2 linked regions of the Arabidopsis thaliana genome follow. The protein of the gene in region 1 interacts with the protein of each later gene in a pairwise test. Each region holds a gene or a part of one and is shown in the gene's direction. Other genes may lie near its edges.

Evidence for each region.
Region 2: the proteins of NTT (region 1) and ARR4 interact in a two-hybrid assay, tested with the Arabidopsis thaliana proteins (one large-scale study listed by BioGRID).

What each region holds. Positions count from the first base shown.
Region 1 is NC_003074.8:21,368,645-21,372,405, forward strand, and holds the start of NTT (C2H2-type zinc finger family protein), read left to right. Parts: upstream 1-2,112; 5' UTR 2,113-2,291; coding exon 2,292-2,990; intron 2,991-3,761. UniProt on the Arabidopsis thaliana protein: Transcriptional regulator required for normal differentiation of the ovary transmitting tract cells and pollen tube growth. In Arabidopsis, the transmitting tract facilitates the transport of pollen tubes to the ovules for fertilization.
Region 2 is NC_003070.9:3,442,467-3,446,227, reverse strand, and holds the start of ARR4 (response regulator 4), read left to right. Parts: upstream 1-1,867; 5' UTR 1,868-2,468; coding exon 2,469-2,646; intron 2,647-2,734; coding exon 2,735-2,811; intron 2,812-2,898; coding exon 2,899-2,976; coding exon of another isoform or gene 2,977-3,058; coding exon 3,059-3,129; intron 3,130-3,228; coding exon 3,229-3,604; 3' UTR 3,605-3,761.

The sequences.
Region 1 (3,761 bases):
GATCTGCGGTGGGGATTTGGACATTCAATGATCTTACCGTTTGAGGGAAAGCCGACCATTGATGCGCACACCAATGCAATTGCTTCCCTTTTTTCTCATATAAATATTAAAACTCATAAAATAAATAAACAATTAACATAAGCAAAACTACATAATTTGGTTCATCGAATTAATAATTCATGTCAATAATAGAAAATCAAAACCCCCCAAAACTTTTACGAATACATACATTCCAGTTTTCTCTCGGGTCCTCGTACTTGATTACCAAATTTATTAATTATTGAATTCCCATATGTGTGTTTTCAATTTATTTATTTTTGTTTATTTTATAGTTAAAATTTTATGAGGAAGAAATCCATTATATGTGAATCTATATCCTAAAATGAATCTAACCTAGCATAAATATGGGATAATACTTCAAAACTACTCACAAACTTTGAAATATTGTCCTTCTAAACCTAGAAAGATATTATTTATCTAACCTTCTTCTTGTCTATATATTTTTGAAACTAGGTCATAGGAGTAGATTTTACTGATATTTATTTCTTTTCTAAACTACAAACACAAAAATTGTAAAATCAGAATTGTGTCCTAATTTATGCTATTTTTTTTTAATTAGCTCATGAGTCGGGAATGACGCCACAATTTTATTTAATTAATTTGTCCATCGGTATTTAGACAGTTACATTATTTTTCAAATTTACCCTGTTTCAAAACTATTTTTAAGTCTCAAACTGATAAGATATGGCTTCTTTTTTTCTTTTTTTGAGGAAAGGCTTTTAAGATAAGAAAATTTGTTTGGGAATTGGGATGAGAGCCATCTCCAAAAAGCAGTGACATTATCTTTGTATGATGTATCTGAACCTCATATGCTTTATGTATTTTTTTATTTTATTTTTTTGTCAAATATGTTCCTTTTTATATATTAATCCTGTTTCACTCATAGTGAATATAAATAAATAAATTCCAATTTTTCCGTGGAGCCAATATAGGTCGAACTCGAATAGCTTTTTGTTTTGTCATATTGGCTATAAGATTATTGTCTTTGGTATTTTAGCGTATGTATGTATACTCTTCAAGCGAGCCCTAATCCTCAATGTCTATTATTATCATCTTTATTACATTTTGACCTACTTGTATGAAATGGCATCCACTAATGCTTTTAATTAAGTACATAATCCACAGATGTGGAATATTTAAGGACTTTTATGATTTAAATATGTTAATACAAGTTCCTGTGCTATTAAGCCTTACGTAATCTGATAATGTTAATCAAATTAGATAATACATATAATTAGAGCCCCTTTTGTAGATTTACTTTAATTCGTTTAATTAGTAAAACAATCACCATGAAAAAATCGTCATATTCAAGCATAGTTTTACTCTCTCTTTTTCAACGACCATAGTCTGACAATAAACTAAGTGAATTCAGACTTGAACATACGAACAACAATTATTCACATCATTCAATGGTTTTGCATTCTTTTTCCTTATAAGATCCAGGTATAAGAGATACACAAATTGAATAAGGATCCAAAGTTAGATCTTTGTACGGTTTTTAAAAATACAATGAAGTAATATGTTATATAGTTCTGATGTGCAGGTTCAGACGCTGTGTTTACTTACCATGATCATACGTAGAAACTCTCAGTCACACGAATTATGAGACTATGATGTCGTCCGAAAATTAAGACATCTTATAATAGTAAGAAAATTAAAGAACGTGATTTGTAGTTTATAATTATAACAACTTATAAGATTTTGAAAACCTTTTAAATTGATTAAAAAATTATTTTAATTCTATATTCTTAACAAAAACAAATCACCAATAAAAAAAAAAAATCTACTATCTGAATTTCTAATGCTTACTGCCTAATCTATAAATGTTATCTTCAAAACATCGTAAACAGTCTTAACCGCACTGGTTATTTCTTAACCATCGTTTTATTTTTTTTATAAAGAATAAGGACCTACATATCTGAATGAAATAATTACTTTGCGTAGACTAATACACATTCGTATTTGACCTGCTTCTTTAGTTCCTTTTTTTTTTTTTTTTCGTTAAAGTCAGTTTTTAGTTTTCAGTCCATAATTAATAATCTTTCTCTCTCTTTTTCTCTTGCACCCAAAGAAAATCTCTCTTTGCAACCCAAAAAAAAAGCTCTCTCTCTCTCCCATCCCATCACAATCTCTCCATCTCCATCTTCATCTCCCATCTATGTCTCTTGTATAAAGATAATCCCACAAGTCTTAAAACTATTCCTTTCTCTTCCTCTCTCTCTCTCTTCACCATGACTGATCCTTATTCCAATTTCTTCACAGACTGGTTCAAGTCTAATCCTTTTCACCATTACCCTAATTCCTCCACTAACCCCTCTCCTCATCCTCTTCCTCCTGTTACTCCTCCCTCTTCCTTCTTCTTCTTCCCTCAATCCGGAGACCTCCGCCGTCCACCGCCGCCACCAACTCCTCCTCCTTCTCCTCCTCTCCGAGAAGCCCTCCCTCTCCTCAGCCTCAGCCCCGCCAACAAACAACAAGACCACCATCACAACCATGACCACCTTATTCAAGAACCACCTTCAACCTCCATGGATGTCGACTACGATCATCACCATCAAGATGATCATCATAACCTCGATGACGATGACCATGACGTCACCGTTGCTCTTCACATAGGCCTTCCAAGCCCTAGTGCTCAAGAGATGGCCTCTTTGCTCATGATGTCTTCTTCTTCCTCTTCCTCGAGGACCACTCATCATCACGAGGACATGAATCACAAGAAAGACCTCGACCATGAGTACAGCCACGGAGCTGTCGGAGGAGGAGAAGATGACGATGAAGATTCAGTCGGCGGAGACGGCGGCTGTAGAATCAGCAGACTCAACAAGGGTCAATATTGGATCCCTACACCTTCTCAGATTCTCATTGGCCCTACTCAGTTCTCATGTCCTGTTTGCTTCAAAACCTTCAACAGATACAATAACATGCAGGTTCTTAATTAATCACACTCTCATTAATCTAAATCTTTAACATATCTCAATACGCATTACTTTTTGAAGAATTTCGTTTTCTTTTCCATGTAAATCGACTTCTTTTTTCCCTTCATTATTCCGAGTAAACCCAAAAGGTAAAAACCAAAGAAAATAGGTTTGCTCACTAAATTTCCTCGAAAAAAAACAAAAACGTTTTCACCTTAAATCGGTAAATAAATATATATAAATACATACTGTTTTCAAATCAATCAGAGGACGTGTCTTTGCTCACTGATGCATGAATAAATCATTGCATTACAAAGAACCGAGAGACTTGAGACTGTGAAGTCTGAGACTGAGATTTAACAAGACAGTAAATGTTCTTTATGTCTTTAGTACTTTCAGAGTCTCTGTGGTTTGCTGCTTTTCACTACAATATTGGCAAGTGTGTCACCCTTTTTTTGTATGAGAGTCTTCAAATGTCTAACGTGTAAAATAACAGTACTGATACGATTTCACAGACCCATATTTCAATTAATATACATAGATACATATAAGGCTTCATTTGTTTGCTACATATATGAGCTTGATAAGATTTTGTACTGAACATAAACTAAGCATCTTTTTCTTTTTAAGTTTTGCTTAGTTAATTTGTTAACCTAAGCATGCATTGACATATCTTATTATTATTATTATTATTATTATTATATATATATATATATTTTTTTTTTTTATGAAATTCGTTTCTATAATTTTGATTACATTTCAGCATTTGTTTGACATCTTATT
Region 2 (3,761 bases), on another chromosome or scaffold:
GTTAGAGCCCACAATTTTCTTAAATTAAGACAAACGAGTAACTTCGTTTTCATCGAGATCAACATGGCCTCATATTGATGGTGAAATTTTTGATACATAAAGCTAGAGAGCACAATTTGGAAGAGAATAATTACTAGCTCACAAAAAAGTCTAAGAATCAATAGGATAGGAGATATAACTCAGACAACATAAGAGTGATACCAAGGAAGGAGAAAGACCAATCTATGTTATCCAACAAATGCTTTGTAGATTAGATATGAGCTTATGTTGACATTAATCTGGATTTTCGGATTTGAGATTCAACTATATTTCCATGTACGTATAGACTAAAATTGAGTTTCTATATGATCCATTGATCCTGTAACAAAATCTAGACGTCAAAATGAAAATATTCAAGTGTACATGATTTTGAGTATTGTATAATTAGGTCAACTAATCAATTACTTTTATTTCTACAAATATATTATACTATGTAGAAAATATTTACAATAATGATTAGAATATAAAGATGCTCCAAACCTCAATCGAGTACCAACATAAAATTAATTAAAGGGAAAATGTCAATGTCTTTAATTTTGTAATTGATGTCCAAAGTTCCTAGAAAAAAGATAGATTACGATTTTATGTGCGACACGTTGATGACTACTTTTATGGATTTTTTTGTTCAACCCTCGATTTTGAGTTGACATCATGAAGATTTGATCCATCATTCGTTGGCCCATATCGTTTGAAAAATCAATTCTCAAATCAATCTTAAATTTCGCGTAATTATTTTATAAAAATGGGCAATATATCCATTGTAAGATTTGTCTATTTCACGCGTCATTTTTCTTTCTACTTTGTTAGATGTTTTTGGTTAATGTAGAAAAACGATTAAATTAGAGACACTATCAATTAGAAGAAACAAAAGTCTTTTGATAAAACTCTACTTTGATCATCCACGACTGTGATCGATAACTTCTAAGCAACCTTGAAACCTGATCTTTTGAGCTTTAACTTTAAGTAGGAAAATGTCATAGTATTGGATTTGGTCGTCTTTAGTTTACATTCAATCTGGAATAAATTTGTTTCTCTAGAAAAAATAAAGAGCCAAAGAATCATTATATATATTTATTGTTCTCATGTTTATATACCTATTTTTTCTTAATAGTAGCTCTTTATTATCAAGAGATTTTTAAAAACACCTATATTGTCATAACATTTTCATAAAATTTTTAAAAATAAAATAGAAAATCAAAACATTTACCCTTTCAACAAAAAGAAATAATAATGATATTTTATATAAAAAAATATAATAAATGGGTGGGAAAGAGAAAGCAAAAGCGATCTCCAAGATTTGATACGGTGTGGTGTCTAAAAGAGTGAAACAGCAAATTATGTTTGGAAGATTAAAGAAAAAAAAGAAGAAGAGAGGTAAAGTCCAATTCCCCCTTTCATTAATACAAATTGTTCCCAACAAAATATTTATGGGTCCCTCTTTTAGATTTCCCTGGGTCCCGCGGATCCAAATTTTAATGTGGACGTCAAATCCTTTTTTTTTATTATTATTTGTCCACTTTCCTCTTCTTCTTTTTTTTTTTTTTGCCATTTGAAAACGATATAAATAAAAGTGTTTGGATAACATAAAATTTCTAGAGTCATATGGATGGATATACTACTAGTTAGGCGTATACTAATTTTCTCGTCAACCCACAAAACCCGATCTTAATATTATTCTATGAATTGCATTTGAACCATAAATTTTAAATTAGAAACTGACCAATCACATGGAACAATATAAAATTGTCTTAGTGGTTAGTACTTAATACAAATAAGACCAATCCGAAGAACCGAGCCGGTTAAGTTTAAACACGCTACTATGAATTGTAATGGTGTATGACCAAAATTAGCTTCTTTAATCTTCTGGTTTATTATTCTTAACAGTGAGTGATTCCATTTTCAGTTTTTTTTTTCCAATCACACTAATGAGTAATGACGAGATTTTGACTAAGAAGTTGTATATATCTCACGATGGTATATTTTTATTTTTTGGATTCCTTTGTACGGATTTCTTCTCCTCTATTATTTATTCGATTTTAGGAATATTATTTTCTCTATGATATTCGCATAGGCCCTCCACCGGATTTTCCATAAAATCTCTATTTATTAATACTATTGTTTTCAAAGATAAAAGTTCAATTTTTTCAACCCTAAAAGCACGGCACATAAAAATATATAATTTTCACATTAATAGGAACCAAAGATTTTGTTGGATTTTCCTCGCTGGAGATTTTTCAAAATAAAAATTGAAAAAACCAAAAAGACACACTCATAAAAGATTTATTTTAGAGAACAAAAAAATCAGAAATATAAAAAACTGTCTTAAGGAAGAGAAAGGAACAAAAGAAAACAGATGTGAGCTCTTCTTCTTCGTCTTCTTCTCTCTATTTTATTCTCATCCTCTCCTCACAGTTACTATAAGCTCGTCTATGGCCAGAGACGGTGGTGTTTCTTGTTTACGAAGGTCGGAGATGATGAGCGTCGGTGGTATCGGAGGAATTGAATCTGCGCCGTTGGATTTAGATGAAGTTCATGTCTTAGCCGTTGATGACAGTCTCGTTGATCGTATTGTCATCGAGAGATTGCTTCGTATTACTTCCTGCAAAGGTTCGTATTTTTTCAAAAAAAAAAACATCTTTCACTTTTTTTTATTCCTCGCCGGAATATTTACATCTCCGGTGGTATCGTTTGTCAGTTACGGCGGTAGATAGTGGATGGCGTGCTCTGGAATTTCTAGGGTTAGATAATGAGAAAGCTTCTGCTGAATTCGATGTAAGTTATTGAAATCTGATACAGCTTTTTGTTTTTTTTGAAGATTACGATTCGTGAGTTTGATTTAGTTTAAATGGATATTTTCAGAGATTGAAAGTTGATTTGATCATCACTGATTACTGTATGCCTGGAATGACTGGTTATGAGCTTCTCAAGAAGATTAAGGTCTGCATTTTCCCGCCATTTTCCTGTTTCAGATTACGGTTGTTTTAGTAACAATGTTGAATTTTCCGGTCATCTGAAACAGGAATCGTCCAATTTCAGAGAAGTTCCGGTTGTAATCATGTCGTCGGAGAATGTATTGACCAGAATCGACAGGTGTGATTCTTGTTGATTTCTTCACAGATTTTGGAGTTTTTAGAAACTGTTGATTGATTTGATAAAATTTTGTAAAAAAAAAAAATGATTTTTGAACAGATGCCTTGAGGAAGGTGCTCAAGATTTCTTATTGAAACCGGTGAAACTCGCCGACGTGAAACGTCTGAGAAGTCATTTAACTAAAGACGTTAAACTTTCCAACGGAAACAAACGGAAGCTTCCGGAAGATTCTAGTTCCGTTAACTCTTCGCTTCCTCCACCGTCACCTCCGTTGACTATCTCGCCTGAATCGTCGCCGCCGTTGACTGTTTCGACTGAATCGTCGGATTCGTCTCCGCCGTTATCTCCGGTGGAGATCTTTTCCACCTCGCCACTTTCATCTCCGATAGACGATGAAGATGATGACGTGTTGACGTCGTCGTCGGAGGAATCGCCGATTCGACGGCAGAAGATGAGGAGTCCCGGATTAGATTAGTGGAACTATTCTGGGATGCCGTGTAATATTATCTATCTCCGTTAACTTCGTTTTTACCTCTGACGGTGTTTTTAATTGCACGTTGACTTGACGCCGTCAAATTTTATAGATGTCCCTTTAATCTCTCGCGCCTCCACGTGGGCCTTTTTTCCTTTTC